3 linked regions of the Mus musculus genome follow. The protein of the gene in region 2 interacts with the protein of the main gene of each other region in a pairwise test. Links are inferred from orthologs where the notes say so. Each region holds a gene or a part of one and is shown on either strand. Other genes may lie near its edges.

Region 1 (6,203 bases), on a different chromosome or scaffold from region 2:
AAAACACAACAAATAATCCCAAACCCCAGAACACAACAGTCCTTTACTGCACCCCCCTAACAGTGCCCTTATCTCCTAGAGCCCACCCACTGCTCAGTCTAACTCCAGCCCTGCTGAGTATTTCCCCATGGCTCCCAACAGCTGTGACACTGAACCCAGGCTCAGGCCTGCCTGGAGCTTTTCCTTACCTTCAAAGGAGGAGCTGTTTGACCTCACAGACACTGTTCTTACTACGAGGAGTAAAGGTAGTTTTGTTCACAGGGTATTTTTCACTTCTACTATGTATCTACAATCTGAGATATCTGGCCAGACCCTAAAGCACTGGGTAACACAGATCTGGATGCATTTTTGCACTAATATTGACAAGTCATAGCATGAGGCATACAAGCTCCCTGCCTGAAAAGAGCCCTGGGTAGTTGAGAAAGAAAGATAAGGCGAAACGAAAATCTTTGAGGTGCTGTAACAGAGTTTAGCGGAGCAAAGGAGGCGCTGTCACTAGAAGGGGTCACATGTGAAGGAATAACTGATTTAGAAACAGAAAATGTAGCTTTTTTCTCACAAAACACTGAGGAAGCCAGTGACAGCACACGGCAAAGGCATCAGGCATCAGCTGACATTAACGTGCAGCACAGGGACCTTGCACAGAATAAGCAAAGCCTAATACTAAAGGCCAGAACAACCACCGAACAAGCGCTCACTCGTAAGGTTTGCTAACCGTGCCTACGTGCATGCGACGCCACAAGTGCGGGAGTCAGAGTGGAACTGTGGGAGCAGGTTCTCTCCTACCGCCCGTGAGTGAGCGACTGAGCTCAAGCCTGTCAGGTTTGGCAGCGACTGCCTTTACCTCACTGAGGAATCCTGCCGGTCCTGAACCAAGTATTTTTATACCAATTTTTTATTTCTCATCAAAATTTTGGAATGCCTGAAGGTTATTTCCACTTCTGTATGATCATATCATGACTTACAATAAATATAATAGATAATAAATACATAACAGACACATACATAGACAACAATAAACACATAAGCAAAATACAACAGTAGCTTTACTTTTGAAAGTGACCAGGAAAAAACCTACAGCATAAAGAATTTGACTAGGGGAGGACTAGAAGACGATTCAGTGGTTACGAGCACTGGCCGCTCCTCCTCAAGAGCCAGGAGCCACTCTCAGCACGCACGTGGGAGCACACAGCCATCTAATACTCCAGGCCCAGGGGATCCAAAAACTCATGGTACTCATGGTACAGAGCAATATACAGGCAAAATACCCATAACATATAAAATAAATACACTTAAAATTTATTGATAGAAAAAAATATAGACAATAATACTACTATTTTTTTTAAAGCGGCTATCCATCCCAAATTATAAAACAAATATCTTAGCTGTCTTTGATGTGACAAAGAAATTTGATTAAATTTATTTTTCTATGATATCCTTTAACTTCTCAAATTCTAAACAGGTGCAACTTCCAGAGTATTTAGCTTATAAAATCTATTATCTAATACATTTTATTAGTGCTGGAGAAACCAATAAATGTTAAAATCGTCCCATCAAGAAGTTACAATACCAAATGTAAAGAAAGGAGTCATTACTTACTTGCATAGGTTTAGCAAGTGGATCCATTCTAACTAAATAAACTTCCAAGCTACGTTCTTTTTTCATAGGCAATGGAAGAGTCAAGTAACAGAAAGGGTCAAAGGTCACCGAGATCTTAGCACACTCAGGACACACTAACGTAGACTTGAAAAGGCCATGGAATATGTCTACTATGATGGAATCATTTCGCTTTAAATGGTTCTCCCAGGCTTCTTCAGCAACCACCTACAGAGGAAAGGAACAGAGTTACTACGAGGTGTCAGAAGACTGTAACGATGAAGACACTAACGCCAGAACGCTCATTCATTTACCTTGTCTGGCCTGCCATCAGCATCTTTTAACTGGATATAGGGTTTTTTCCTAATTCTATTCAGGTCCTCGTGCAGTCCATCCAACAGGAAAGCCAGTAGTTCTTGGCAGTCCTGCTGTTGATATCCAGAGAACTGAGGTGCGAAGCGCCCTACCTGTGTCTGTAAGACACAAAGTCACACAACCGGCTAGAGACAGGCTCCTGAAAAAGCACATGCTTGCTCTCAGTTTACTATAAATTACTTCTATGCCCCCAAGCTGTGATACACTGAAACCATCTCAAAGTGTTCCAGTAAACCCTCTGGGAAGAACGTGAGCGAGCTATACTGCCTTGAAGTTTCAGCATCGTTTTGTCATTTTCTTAGTGTTTTCTTCTTTATACGTGGGTGGTTTCCTGCCAGGCTAGCTAGTGCTTGAAACCGTTCTCACGCAGAGCGCTAAGGTGTCATCTAGAATTCATAAACACAGGGGTAGTCATGTACTTTACAGGGAAAATACAATTAGATGCATCTTGTTAAGCAGTGAGTTATATATAGGGTTGGTTGTGAAGTCAGGATTAGCATGTTACCCATACACTAAACCCCGAGTCAGTGACTGATGACAATGTGACAAGGCTCGAGGGACTCGAATCTTGCCCTTCCCTAGAATGTGCTTCTGTATTTGTTCATCTGTTCATTTCCCTTTATGGAAATAACTTAGGAAGAATGAAAACTGGTGTTCTGCCTGCAGTGTCTTTGCAGCATTTGCATACGGTGTCCACTTGAACTGGAGTTACAGACATAGGTAGGTAGGTAGCTACCATGCAAATGCTGGGAACTGAGCCCGGCTCCCCTGGAAAAGTAGCCAGCGCTCTTAACCTTAGCACAGCCATCTCTTCAGCGCTGATTCATTTTTTAGGAACAGCTAGATGATTAACAAAATATTCCTTAGCAGATGATCTAGGAATGCCACTTACCTGTGAAGACCATGGCTTATAATAACTTCTCCCTAAGGCTAAGACCTAAGTAACTCCCTCATACATACAAACACCCAAGCGTAAAAACCAGATCGAAAATACAATCAGTGACTATTTGACAGTTGTTTTGTAAATTCGTTTCATTCTGATTTTGTTTTTTTTTACAGTCTACAATAACCACAGGATAAACTTAATGGCATGTCCCAGTGAAGCTTAAAACATTCATGTAGTGTTTCCAGAGATAGCCTTGACCCTTCTGAACCTCATCAGTGTAACTGTGCGTGTCTGAGCATGTGCGCACACGTGAATGCAAACACCATGGGGTCAGACCTTCTCCAGTGTGAGTTACACAGGCATTTCTGAGCCACCTCATGTTAGTCCTCTGGGAGTGTAGCAATTGCTCTTAACTCTAAGCCATTCCTCTCCAACCCATTTCTAGACATTAAGAAAACAAAAACCAAATAAAAACCCCTAATCAGGAGAAATATAAATGGTTCCTTGTGCTGAGTAACAGTTAACACTTAAGCGAGGCTTTCAGGTCACTCACTTCCCAAACTTTCAGTCAGTTACTACTAACAAACAAAGCCACCAATACTTGTTGCTGCAAAATTTGCTGAATGCCATGTCTCTGTCTTTGTGAGGCCAGGAGACAATGCGATGGGACTCTCAGCTCTCAACTGAGGAGTCTGTTGTTGTGTTGATCCTCTGGAGACAAAAGCACACTAGCTGAGAATAAGTTTACCACACTAACCTTGAATGCTCTTGGAGTGACGTAGCTAAACTTTCCAGACCACATCTGCTTGATGAGTTCAGCGTATGATTTAGCTATTTCACCTCTCATTCCTAAGGGATTGTCAAAATTCAGCTCTTCTTGGTACTTATCATTGAGGAAATATTCAGTAAGTGGAGGTGTGTTGCTCAAACACTGAAAGGAACAAAAAATATTTTGAAGTAAAATATGCACACTTAAACTGTTAAAATGACGAGAGAAGCAAGTCAATTCACACAGAGCAGTAGAAACGGTTCCTTGTGCCGAGTAACAGTTAACATGCCAGTCAGGCTTTCTGAGCACTCACTTCCCAAACTTCCAGTCAGTCACTACAACAAACAAAGCCACCAATACTTGTTGCTGCAAAATCTGCATAATTTTAATCACAACAAACTACCTGTTAACTGGGGGTGAAGCTCAGCGTTTCCTTGACTTGATGGGCAGAAACTATGGACTGTCTAAGCACCCCAGGCACTGTAAAGTAGCCTGGGTAGGTAAAAACCGAGATGGTGTGCAAGGAAAAAACAAAACAAAACAACTTAAAAGAGGTACAGATGGTTTATGGTATCCATGGACTCAAATCAATTGCAGATAGAAAAATAATTTGGAAAAAAAATGCATTCATACTGAACAAAATGTTTTTTGGTCATTGTACTTCAGTCAGGACAACATAAAGGTATTATAAGCAATCTAAAGATGACTTACGTGATGACCATAAGCCTCCTAATATACGGCGCTTGTGGATTTCGATACCAACAGCTCACGGATACCATCACGACGACAGTACTTACTACTTCTGCAGCCAGCGCCTTATCATAAAGGTGCGGTTTTTAAGCCTGTCATTCAGCTGGTAGTGGTGATTAGAAAGCATAGAACTGACCAGGAAAGCCTACCAAAACCAACTTTAGGCAAACTCTGGATATGTTCTTTCAAAACTCTTAATACAATAACAATTTAATTTTCATTTATGAAAAACTGCAAAGTTTTAATCCAATCCTTTTTGAATAAATTCCTAATAAAAAATTTCAAAGATGGTAGAAATATATTTTTCCACAATATTTTATTTCAAAATGATTTGGATAAGGTGAGGTCGATGCTGCCTTATGATTCCCTAGAGGGAGACCATGCTGCTTTACGAACGAGGTTTCAGATATGCAATGCCTCACACACGTGTACACTCAGGTAAGTCACATCAACAGCCAATATAAATAATGCCTTGGAGACAGTGAAAAAGTGCTGTATGAGAAATCAGTTGCCTGTACGTAAAGTTTTAAAGATCCATTTTGTTGAGTCTCAATTAATATTCATGGAAATCAAAGTTTTTGAGAGCTGGCATGCCACCATGTTGCATGAAGTTAAATAGGCTTCATAGCTATGTAAAGCCCAGCTTGCTGGGTGTTTATACAGGTAATGTAAATTATGACTATATTACATAGTCTGGCCAAAACAAGCATATTTTACTTTTATTTACTTCTTTCAAGTATCTTATGCTACTCATTTTTTTGGCCTCAATTATATATTTACTGACTCGTATGTTTACTGACTCGTCCTAATACCGCCACAGTTTGGATGTTGTCTAAATTGAGTTGCACCCCATCCCTCAGGATGAACGTGGAACTTGTATCACGGAATGTACTGTTCTGACTCTCCAATGCTCGCCTGAGGTGCCCTCGGCTGGCAGAGAGGAACCAGTCACTCTGAGTTCCCAACATCCCCGCTCCCAACCTCTTACTGTACTTCTGATTCTGAGACAAGATTTTAAGTTGCCCAGGCTGGCCTTGAGCTCACTCTGCATCACAAACAGCGCATGAACTTTTACTTTCCTTTCCTCAGTCCCTAGAGCAGCTGGCTTTACAGGGCCGTGGCATGAGGTCTCACAGATACTCTATGACTCAGGCTGCGCGCTGCAGAGCTTCCGAGTCGTTTACATTTGCTTCCACTATAGACTCTGTCTTTGTGTGAAAAGCTACGCATCGGGCAGTGGGGAGATAACGGGGATGGTGATTAAGGGAAGGACACTTCCTATGCTTCTCCCCAGGTCCTCATGTCCCACCTGAGTCTCATTCTCTCCTTGTGTATTGCACTTCACTTTTACTACAATCCCAGCACTAGAGGAGGACAGGCCACATGGATACACCACATCACAGCTGCCATTGCTTAGCAGAAGTATGCTGATCTGCCACAAGCAGGATCAACGGTAAGAAGACATTGGGCAAAGGGGCCAGTCACAGTAGTGTCTGACAGTTAGCACTTAGTTTGCAAATCCTCATTCTGTGGTGTGGTCAGGGTTATATTAATGCAGCATCCCACTAAAGTCTATTACTACACATATACAAACCACCAAATTTATCCCACTAAAGTCTATTACTACACACGTACAAACTACCAAATTTATCCCACTAAAGTCTATTACTACACATGTACAAACCACCAAATTTATCCCACTAAAGTCTATTACTACACACATACAAACCACCAAATTTATCCCACTAAAGTCTATTACTACACACGTACAAACCACCAAATTTATCCCACTAAAGTCTATTACTACACACGTACAAACCACCAAAT
Region 2 (5,235 bases):
TCCTTAATCATCAGGGAAATGCAAATCAAAACAACACTGAGATTCCACTTCACTCCAGTCAGAATGGCTAAGATCAAAAACTCAGGTGACAGCAGATGCTGGCGAGGATGTGGAGAAAGGGGAACACTCCTCCATTGTTGGTGGGATTGCAAGCTTGTATAACCACTCTGGAAATCAGTCTGGCGGTTCCTCAGAAAATTGGACATAGTACTACCGGAGGATCCAGCAATACCTCTCCTGGGCATATATCCAGAAGATGTCCCAACCGGTAAGAAGAACACATGCTCCACTATGTTCATAGCAGCCTTGTTTATAATATCCAGAAGCTGGAAAGAACCCAGATGCCCCTCAACAGAGGAATGGATACAGAAAATGTGGTACATTTACACAATGGAGTACTACTCAGCTATTAAAAAAATGAATTTATGAAATTCCTAGGCAAATGGATGGACCTGGAGGGTATCATCCTGAGTGAAGTAATCCAATCACAAAGGAACTCGCACAATATGTACTCACTGATAAGTGGATATTAGCCCAGAAACTTAGGATACCCAAGATATAAGATACAACTTGCCAAACGCATGAAATCCAAGAAGAACGAAGACCAAAGTGTGGACACTTTACCCTTTCTTAGAAATGGGAACAAAACACCCATGGAAGGAGTTACAGAGACAAAATTTGGAGCTGTGACGAAAGGATGGACCATCTAGTGATTGCCATATGCAGGGATCTATCCCATAATCAGCTCCCAAACACTGACACCATTGCATACACTAGCAAGATTTCGCTGAAAGGACCCAGATATAGCTCTCTCTTGTGAGACTATGCCGGGGCCTAGCAAACACAGAAGTGGATGACCACAGTCAGCTATTGAATGGGTCACACGGCCCCTAATGGAGGAGCTAGAGAAATTACCCAAGGAGCTAAAGGGAACTGCAACCCTATAGGTGGAACAACAATATGAACTAACCAGTACCCGGGAGCTCTTGTCTTTAGCTGCATATGTATCAAAAGATGGCCTAGTCGGCCATCACTGCAAAGAGAGGCCCATTGGACTTGCAAACTTTATATGCCCCAGTACAGGGGAACACCAGGACCAAAAAGGGGGAGTGGGTGGGTAGGGGATTGGGGGGGTGGGTATGGGGGACCTTTGGGATAGCATTGAAAATGTAAACGAGGAAAATACCTAAAAAAAAAAAAAAAAAAAAGAAGTAACCCACCAGGCACTGTTTATGCTGCCTATACACTCCTGAAGATGGGGCTTTCACTGGGGGAGGGCCCATACCCTGAAAGCAAGCTGACTCTCCTTCTCCCAGCAACTGCCCAAAGCTCTTTAGCCAGGGGAGGGACTCTGTGCCCATCTCTCTCTCTGCTGCAATTTTGTCCGGCCTGAGCCAGTACAGATGTTTCTTTAATTCTTTGTGTTTGTTAATTTGAAAGGTGGCGGTAGAATGAAAGAAGCTCAGGAAAATCAACAGGCTTTATTTGATCTTAAAAGACATATTATTCAGAATTGGAACCAATACTTGGAGATCTTTCTCAAGGTAACTTTTATGTAACAAAGACACTTGTATCCAGACCATTTGTTATTGGCTATGGGGGAAAGCTGAGATAGTATGAAACCTCCCAATTCCATTCAGTGGAGAATAAGGGGTTTATTAACTATGTAACATAAATCTCCAGGTAGTATTTTTGAAGCTTTCAAAATATTTGTATACTAGTTCAGCTACTAATTTCACTTTCTTCAAGGCAATGGAATCAGAAACCAACATATCCACAAAATGACAGCAGGCAGTGTCTGAGCACAGCTGTTGTAGCCTTGTGAGAGTCAACAGCAGGGGTTCACTGACCAGACCCAGCACAGCACCCAGACTTTGGCTATCACTGGGGATACTGAGCATACTGTCAGTGTAACATTCAGCTCTTGTCTGAACCACTTTCACTACTTTATCCTGGCTTTCATTTGTTCCCATAGAAGATATTCTTGACCTGGGTTTACAGAAGAAGTGCATAGAGCATTCCAGGGAGGGAAAACAAACAAACAACGAACAATAAAACCCTAAAATCCCCCAGTAACAACAAAACAACAAACCAAACCAGAAGATGTATAATGTTAAGACATATGTATGCATATATATATATATATATATATATATATATATATATTTTACCAATAATAACTGAACAGGATAGTTCAAGCACAATTTCTAGGAAGTCCTTCTGCAAGCCACAAAAGATATAGGAGTAGACAGGTATCTAGCCAAAGGTAACAACCAAGGACAGAGAAAACAAAGGAAGTCACATAAAGGCAGAAATGTTTGTTTGTCTTTTAGATGAGTTTGGGTCCAATGTGAGGAGTCTGTTTCATTGAGGAATCATTGCGGAATCTATGTCAGGTATATTGATGGTGAAGGTCATTTGACATTGACTTTCAGTTATGTCCAGCTGATACCTTCATCCTGGGACCCTGACTCCTTTAAAGAGATGAGGGTTTAGGGTAGTTCCAACTAGATGGGTCAAAATGACCAAGTGCATGGCTGAAGAACACCAACAGGAAGTGAGCAGCAGTATCCAGAAATGGTCCCCAGGAGTCACTGGATCTTGATCAGGACAGGGAGGAGGTAAGTGTCCGGGAAGTACCGTCAGTAGGCACTGGCTCCTGACCATCACATCTTTAGTGGACAGAGCTTTAGAGGCGCTGCATTTCCCCCACTATAATTGAAACCAACATTGAAGAAAGGTCGCAGAGGTCCAGCAAAAACACACTCCGAGAAGGTGTAAATGAGGGAGCCATGGTCAGTTATGTTGTAGAAGGAGACAACGCCAGCCTCATAGTCCACAAAGATCCCAATTTGGCATGGAGGTACTTGAATGTGGAGGGTGGTCTGAGGACTGGTACCAGCCTCATAGCTGTCTTGCCATAACCAAATGGTCCAGAAGCCATTCTCGGGACTGAGTGAAAACTGCCCTTTCCTCTGAACAGAATCTCTGCAAACCCCCAGATCCCAGGCCTCCTTTTGAGTCACATCTACCTCCCAGTACATCTTCCCAGAGGAGAATCTCTGGGCACCTAGCACCATGGGGTAATTACTAAACCTCTCCTCATTGTCAGACACGTTCTGATGGGTGTCTCCCATCCTCACTTGTCTCCGATCCTTTGAGATGATGAGCCATGAGTTGGCGGTGTTGCGATCCAGAGTAATATGAACTGCAGAAAGAAGATCATAAGTAAGACTGGATGCATGAGGCCAGCTGCTCTTTGCCTAGAGTGAGGAGATCCATTTAAACTCAAAGGTGAGGGGTGACCCTGAATCTCATCATGTGAGGAAATGACCCACAGTTACTCTTGCCCTTCCTCTGACATGTGAGGAAACTTCATCTATGTCTTCTGCTCCACCTGTACCACTTGCCACCTCTTCCACACATTACCACCCTGGGTTCCTCATGACTGTCCACTCCACACTCTCATTATCCCTTTCTGTCTAGCCCACAATTCCTAGATGTCGCCTTACCCCAACATGTCCTCAGCATCTTCTTCCGCCCTGGCACAGGGCATGTGCTTGTTAGGTCTGGGGCGTCAATATCTAACGTGTCCAGGTTCCAGGATCCACTCCTAGGGAAAGAGTTTGAGAATCTTACTTCCTGCTCCTATCTTCTACCTTAGGCCCCAGTGCTCTCCTTCATGGACGGCTCAATAATTAAACTCAATACCAATATACAAATACACATGCATTCAATGTCCACAGGAAAGGAAAAAAAAGTTCCTATCTAGGAGTTCCAAGTTCTAGGAATCTCAAATAAATCTCCATCTCTTTCCAGAGCCCAAAGTCATGGCCTTGTGGATTTTATTTAATTTTACAGCAAACCATCTAACAGGTGGAATGACTTCTGTGAAGAACTTGGAGGACTCTTGGCCATGCTGTCGGTTTTACTCATTACTTATGAATGTCTTTCCGTAGGAGAGTTCTAGCAGACTCAGATTACCACTTTCTGGTGGGAGACTTTTAATGTACAAAGATGATTGATATTCATCGGGCAATTCATCATTTGATATGTTCATTAGCCATTTGAAAGCAGAGAACGTCTTAGAGTGGACCAGGTTTCTATGCACACATGCTTCCTGGTCCCTTTCCTTACCTTTCCAGGATGATCCTCACCTCCTGAGGAGAGAAGAGACAGACAGTCAACTCTGGAGTTTCTGACTGACCACTGAGATGCCATTCCTGGGGCCATGTGACATCGCCCTTGGGTAAGGCCCCAAAGATAACTCTGACAAACCGTTACCAGAAATGGCATGTGATGGCTCACAGAATATCTAGGAAGCCAACGTGGTTATGGCCTTTAGCCATGACCAGGGATTTAAAGACTGACAGAGAAAGAGACTTACAAGGGCTGGGTTCTTGGAGGAGCGGGGCTGGCCATGGAGCCAGTAGAAGAGGAAGATAAACAACAGAACCCGACTGAAGCCGGGAGGTAGCTTCAGGCAGAGAATGGCTTAGGTAGATGTCCAGAGAGGTTCCCTGCTATTTTTGGGCTTGAACTGTTTGTGGAGGAATGGCTAGTTGGTTAAAAGCTTTGTCCTGTGCTGTGGCTAATCCTCTTCACTATTTAGAGTGAGTTCAAGTGAGACTATTCATTCTCAGGCAGTGACAGCCATAACATTTGAACTGGCAGCCTCCTAGGCTCCTTAAAAAGGCACCAGGAAGCTCAGTTCAGTGACAGGCAAGAGGAAGCCTGCCAAGTCAAACCAATACAATCAGTTTTTCTATACAAAGCAGAAAGAAATGTCTGTATGCATCTGACTGAGACAGTGACACAGGTATGAGAAAAGAAACCTAGAGTGTCCCAACACCAGGCTAATATACCAAGGGTGGATGCAATGGATGCAACTTTAGAGTATGAACTGACTCTAAAACACAATCTGTCATCTTAATTTCTGCCTCTTACTACTTAGATAAACTGATGTAAGTTAACGGGAATCTCCCACTAATTCCATTAACATTTTCTCTTCCATGGAGTGAGATTGCAGCGGTACTAACCTGAGCCTGGCAGGCCACTAGTGTGCCCTTTAGGAACCTGAGCTATCATCATTATGGGAAAAATTAGAAAAAAGAATAGTAGTACGAATACATGATTATTTTAGTTCCTATGCTTCGGAAAAAAATTATTTTAAGTTTATTTTGGGAAAAGAGTGAGACTACCTGCAGAACGAGAGCACATTAAAGATAATGTAGG
Region 3 (6,203 bases), on a different chromosome or scaffold from region 2:
TCGTCGGGGTCAGGGTTCAACTTGGGTCCCTGCATCCTTATCTAGCCTTATTGCTCACATAATTCACAAAGGCTTTGCATACAGGCACCAGAATGAGGAGACAGAGCTTCCCCCAGGGTCCGAACAGCTCTCTGTGCCTTCAGCCTTTATCACAGAGCCTCCCTGAGGGTCCCTCACCACGGACTTTGCTGAGGGCTTTTCCATGGGGGTTGTAACCACCAGGTGACCTGGCCTTGAGCCAGCCCTACCAGCAGCTACGGCCCTGCTATGCTCCTTTGGAAGAGCCTGTTTCCCCCAAAAGGAAAGTTCTGCCAGAGGTGCCACAAACCCTGAGAGTCACAAAACTGCTTATGAGCTGACAGCATGGTGTTTGCAGTGACTAAGCTGTAGGTGCCGAGGGTGGGCAAGGAACAGTCTGTCCACCTCTCTGCCCTCAGGTGTAGCTGTGCGGGGAGGGGTCATTATGAGCAGCAGGGTGAGTGTGGCTAAGAGTTCAGCGAAAGGCAGGATGGGGTGGGGCAGGGCCGGCTCCGGACTCCTAAATTCTTGTTTCTCCATAAGCAGCTCAGAGCCTGGGGCTTGGAGAGTTTTGCAGGGGAATGTTCTTGGATCCCATGGGAGAACTGGGGGACAGGGCATGGGGCCAGGAGTTCTAGAACTTTCCAACCTGTCAGCTGGGAAATCTTCAGGCTGGGCAGTGTAATAGTCATGGCTGTATGTGGCTTGTCTTGTCCTTTCTGCCACTTGCCCATAGCTGCCCCTGTTTCCCAGCTAAGGAAGGCTAGGCTGTCTGGGAAGGGGCCTCTATGTCACCATCCCACACTGCTCATCAGTACTCCACCCTGTCCCTAAACCCAAGAGCTGAATTCTGGAAAAGAGGCAGCATGGACTGGACTCCTGGTGTCTGCAGTATGTCCTAGTATGTGTCTTTTTACCTATTCCCATCTCTATGGCGAATATCCCTTGCTGGGCAGTACTTTGTGACCCCGACCCCAACCCCCACTGTGCTATGCCTGGTCCCTGCATCAGAAAACTCAAGGTCTTAGTCAGGCCAGTCTCGCTCAGCAAGTTTTTCCTGCCTAGTGGCAGCAGCAGCATCTGAGAGGGGAGCCAAGGTTGGGTGGGCAGGAGCCCATGCTCCCATTTTCCCAGCTGAGGCTTACATGGGCCAGATCTAGGCGCTCACCGCTCTGTCCACTGGGGAACAAAAGGAGAGCAAAGTTGGCCCTGCAGCACACAGGGAGAACAGGGATGACCTCGGAAGGCCCTGGGCGATGGGGAGATAGTTCCCTGCCAGGTTTCTGCCTCTCAGAAAATGGTTCACTAGGACACTTGAGCTCACTAGCAAATTTCTCGCCACTCAGAGTGTTGGTTTCCTTACCTGCACACTGGGATCTGGCAGCCCAGCCCTGCTCATATTCCCCAGCCCCCATTATTTGCTAAACCTGTGCTTTTCATCACTGGAGCAGCACACAGGGAACAAGGACCTTTGTCCTATTCTGTGGTGCTCCCAGGGACAGGACCTGGGTCACAGTGGGTGCTCCGTGTGGCACCGTTCTGATGGTATAGACAAGTGTGTGCTAGCTCCAAAGTACCAGTTTGGTGGTATAGACAAGTGTGTGCTATAACTCCAAGGCACTCATGGCCAGAAAGGAAGCAAGACACTTTAATTGAGATCTATCTCCCATCAGCCATGAGAGAAGGGTCTCAGGGGCCTGGATAGAAATATGAAGGGAAAGTTAGGCAGACAGGTACCAGCCAATGGGCTCAAGGGGGTCACCTCTCTGAAAGCTGCTCAATGAACTGGCTGTGGCTACTGGCACTGTTCAGCACCCAAGGTGCATAAAACTACCTGTGACAACTTTGTGGTTCTTGGCATGAACTTGTGGGAGACTCATGCCAGGGAGGGTGGAGGGTTGTCAGGTTGACCTCATCATCACAGGTGAGGGATGACCACCAAGACAGGACCAGAACCTGACTGAAGTCATACATTAGTCCCAAGCAAAGACAGGAGGAGACTACCAATATGTCCCCAACCAATATGTCTTCCAGAGAGCCCTAGGCAAGAGCAATGGGGCCAGAAGTGGCCTCTGAACAGGGGGCTCCCCTTCAGGTCCACCTTGGGCCGCAGTGTGCATCCAGATCACAGCTCAGTTCGTATCAATGCCTACTTCATGGATAGAGAAGCTGAGGTTCCCAGGATAACGTGCCTGGATTTCAAGGCTAGGGGGGGTGGGAGCTGGGACTCCCATTTTGGGAGTCAGTTTCAAGATCTCTGGCCCAGCCTAGGAGGAAGCAAGGGTGGAGATGGCCACCTGGTGGCCCTAAGTGCAATCGCAGGGCTGAGCTGGGGAAGCTCTGGCCAGCCAGGCCTAATGTGGGTGGGTGCTCTAGGACTTCTTGAGAAGGGACTGGTGGGTGTGTGCCAGGGTTTCTTTACGCATCGTGCGTTGGCTGAGCTTGCCTACTGAAAACCTATTCCAGCACACTGCCATCTCCCCTTCTGGTCAGGCTTGTTAACATCCAAACAGACCTCACTGTACGACCTCTGATCAGATCTTGACGCACACTGTTTCCCGTGCCTGGCACCCCTCAGACCCCAGCAGAGCTCCCACACATGCTTAAGGCTGGACTCTGCTGCCCCGTCTCGTCTCGGAGTGTGTCCTCTGTGGACTTCCTTCCGCACCTGCTCATGGTGGAACTTCTGGGTCTATGTGTATCCCATACTTCTGCCCTTCTGCCCCTGTCCCAGGGTGGCTAGCCAGGACCACCCTCTAAGGGCTGCCAAGGCAGCCTGGGTCTGTGGGGAGCTCAAGAGGAGTGGGACGGGACAGGTTCCTCTCTGCTCCTACTCTGGGCCTGATCTGTGCCGGGTGCCCCTGTTTGGCTAGGTGACCTTGGGTCTTTGGGAAGCTTCCAGGAGTTACTAAGGCTGGGCTATCCTCCTGGTGGTGTCATCCCTAGGAGTCACTTTCTGCTGTGACCTGTAGGGAGTTAAGGGATGTCCAGGCCAGACTCGGGTAGAGAACCTTCCTGTACATATGGTACCAGATAGGCAAGGAAGCTGGAGAAGGTGTGGGGGACCCTCGTGGAGTAGCCAATGGCTGCTGCATGGTTACGGTGGCTGCTAAGCAGCTGCAGGAGACAGAACACATGATGATGCATCGGGCTGTGGCCTTAGAGCAGTAGCCCCAGCCTGGTGTGGGTCTTATAGCTCCACGGGCAATCAGAACGGAGAGGAAGGACGGCAGTCCACAGGAGCTGCAGGGTCTTCACACATTGCCCTGATCCTCAGTATGCTGTTGTGGAAAGCCACTGACCAAAGGTCAAGTGTGGCCTGGGAGCAAGCATTCTTGAAGAGCCATAGGCAGGCCACACCTTCCTCTGTCCCTTTAGCACAGTAGCATGTCGAATTCCACTACTCCAGACACAATCAGGAGACAGAGTCCTAAGCCATGCCACCAGGCCCTGACCCCACTCTCTTCCTCCTGCTTCGTGTTACCTCCCCCCAAAAGTCCCTCCTCCTCCTCACAGCCAGCAGGGGGGGGCTGCTATGGATGGAACTTCATCATCCCCTTCCGTACCCCTCATACCCCTCGTGACTTCCTGCTGCTCTGAGAGAAAGCCCAAGCTGTGTACCAGTCCTCTGCCCTATGGTCCCCCTCTCTCTGAGTGTGACTCTGCTGCCCTCAGCCCCTTCTGCTTTGCCAGACTGAGGAGCCACCGTGTTCATCCTAGTAAGCCACCGCACAGTCCCCAGTCCAGCACCCCTGCTTTGGCTCTTGTTGCCAGGCGCTATCTTATAAGGTGTGAGTTTCTCCTTATGAAGTTAATACAGCCTTCTGCTTTAGGTCGACTGACTCATTCTTCCAATGACCTATTTTATCTGTGTGGAAACAGGCTCAGCAGGGTTAAGTAACTGGTCCTGTGCCACACAGCCACAAAGTGACAACATCAGAATTAGAAGTACCTGGCCTCAGAGTCTGTGCTCTCAACACAGACAACATTGTCATCAAGTGGGACCCTGTTGGCAGAACTTTCTGGTCACCAGCCTAGGGCCTCATTGGGCATCCTCCCCTACTCTCTAACCAAGAAACCTCCACACTTGCTTGCTGAGCCCTTTACCCAGCCAGTGGCTCTGCCAGGCCTGCCCCACCCCCCTGCTCCCACCCACTCCGCCCTGGAGCTCACTTCACAGAGACGGAGAACTCGCCAGGGGAACTCTCACTCTCCCTGATCAGGAAGGCTCCTAGGTGGTTGCGTTTCATCAGAGTCTCTTCAGCCAGCTGTCGAGAGATCCTGCCCGAGTACCACCTGTGGGGAGAGGGGGACCGTGTCTGGAGGTATCCGTAAGGTCGATGGCAGGGCTGGCCCTCATTCCCTCTTCAAAGGTATCACTGTGACCATTTTACACTCGAGGAAATTGAGAAATAGGGAAAAAAAAATCAAGGTCACATAGGAGAGGCAAATCAGAGTTGAGGCAATCTGTCCCTGCTGTCCGTACCAGGCCAGGCAAACCCACACCCAAGACAGAAAAACCAGAGTCAGGTGCTTCACCAGCCGGCACGCCTGTCTGGCTTGTAGATGGAGATTATCTTTCTTTTTTAATATTCATTTTCATTATTGTTTTAAATTATATGTATTATATATAAGGGGTGGGGTATGTGTATGTGAGTCCAGAAGAGGGTGTCAGGTCTCCCAGAGAGGGAGTTACAGGTGGTTGTGAGCTGCCAGATGTAGGTGCTAGGAACCAGACATGGATCCCCTGCAAGAGCAGTATGCACTCTCAAAACTATTTATTTCTGTGTGGGCGCATACATGTTCAGGAATGTACATACTACATATATGTAGACCAGAGGATAACCAGTCAGTTCTCCCCTTCCACCATTCACATCCTGGGCACTGAAATCAAGTCACTGGGCTTGGTGAGAAGTGCCTTTAATCACTGAGCCGTCTCACTAGCCCAGTACAGATTTTTAAAAGTTAAAAAAGCGTAAAATTGTGCTAGGATGTGAGTCAGTGGAGTGCTAGCCTAGCGAGTGCGACACTCCACGTTCGTCCTCGGCACCACAAATAAGTATGGGTGACATCAATAATAGTGGCCTCCCTCCCTGCCTTGTGTCCCTCCCGAGTAGGAGCAGACTTGGAACAGAACTGCACCCGCTAGGTCTTGGGACTCTTGCAAGGCCAGAGCAGCCTCTCCTGGGGTCCTTCCTGTCTGCTGGGCTAGCCAGCTTCTGCAGCGAGGCCTCAAGGCCCTTTCCAGCCAGCCGCTCGCTTACTGACCCCAGGGCATTGTATTGAGTCCTAGGCTAGAGCGCTGGGCCTAGAAGGATTCTTTGGGAGGTGGTGGTGGTGGGGTCCCCAGGAACGGGAGGCTGCCTGCCATGCCTGGACATAGCTCCAAAATCTACATTGGAACTTGGTCTCAGTGGTGGCTATTTTTGGTTGTCAACTTGACTACATCTGGAATTAACTAAAGCCCCCAAGTAGAGGGCATACTTGTGAGAGAGCTTTGCTTAATCCAAAGTGGAAAGATCTACTTCTGATCTGAATCTCTGAGGCAGGAAGACTTTTAATCCAGGTCTTTGGAACTAGGGTAACCCGACCTCTAATCTGGGCCACACCTACGGAAAGCCTATATAAAGATATGGAGGAAGATGGCTTGGCTCTCTGCCTGCTTGCCATTGACTTGCTAGCAAGTCCATTCCTTCATTGATTGGCATCAGAGCCTGCTTCTGCAGGATTCCAGTGTGTCCTGAATCAGCTGAGACATCCAGCTTTGTGGACTGAGCAACTACTGGATTCTTGGACTTTCTGGTCATAGCCAGCCATTGTTAGATTAACTGGAAGAGATGGAGAGGGAGAGCGAGAGAGGAGAGAGAAATGAGAGAGAGTGTGAGAGAGAACCCTAATACAGTCTCTACAGCAGAGGCGAGAAGTGGGAACACTGGGTGACAGGGTCATGGGGGGATTGGTCTAATAGGCCGTGAGTTACGGAGGAAGGGTTCACCTGCTTGAAGGGCAGTTGAAGGAAGTTCTAAATCTCAGTTCTCACCACTCCATCTTTGACTCTACTATGTTGCTTCTTGTACTGGGGTGGAAACTGAAACCCAGGGAGGACCGAGGTCTCCCGAGAAGCTGCTTAGGGAGTCTGAGGTTCACCCCCACACAGCTGCTCTCATGGACTTTCTGTCCCTCTC

The links. The genes of interacting proteins can lie anywhere in the genome.
Region 1: the proteins of Trim21 (region 2) and Usp15 interact in binary tests that used the Homo sapiens proteins (3 or more experiments, as listed by UniProt). The link is inferred for Mus musculus from reciprocal best matches to the Homo sapiens genes TRIM21 and USP15.
Region 3: the proteins of Trim21 (region 2) and Grap interact in binary tests that used the Homo sapiens proteins (3 or more experiments, as listed by UniProt). The two-hybrid records come from large-scale screens. The link is inferred for Mus musculus from reciprocal best matches to the Homo sapiens genes TRIM21 and GRAP.

What each region holds. Positions count from the first base shown.
Region 1 is NC_000076.6:123,129,342-123,135,544, forward strand, and holds part of Usp15 (ubiquitin carboxyl-terminal hydrolase 15), read right to left. Parts: intron 3,789-6,203; coding exon 3,615-3,788; intron 2,070-3,614; coding exon 1,911-2,069; intron 1,825-1,910; coding exon 1,600-1,824; intron 1-1,599. UniProt on the Homo sapiens protein: Hydrolase that removes conjugated ubiquitin from target proteins and regulates various pathways such as the TGF-beta receptor signaling, NF-kappa-B and RNF41/NRDP1-PRKN pathways.
Region 2 is NC_000073.6:102,556,456-102,561,690, forward strand, and holds the end of Trim21 (E3 ubiquitin-protein ligase TRIM21), read right to left. Parts: intron 4,161-5,235; coding exon 4,138-4,160; intron 3,614-4,137; coding exon 3,513-3,613; intron 3,209-3,512; coding exon 2,667-3,208; 3' UTR 1,465-2,666; downstream 1-1,464. UniProt on the Homo sapiens protein: E3 ubiquitin-protein ligase whose activity is dependent on E2 enzymes, UBE2D1, UBE2D2, UBE2E1 and UBE2E2.
Region 3 is NC_000077.6:61,662,296-61,668,498, reverse strand, and holds part of Grap (GRB2-related adapter protein), read right to left. Parts: intron 4,315-6,203; coding exon 4,192-4,314; intron 1-4,191. UniProt on the Homo sapiens protein: Couples signals from receptor and cytoplasmic tyrosine kinases to the Ras signaling pathway. Plays a role in the inner ear and in hearing.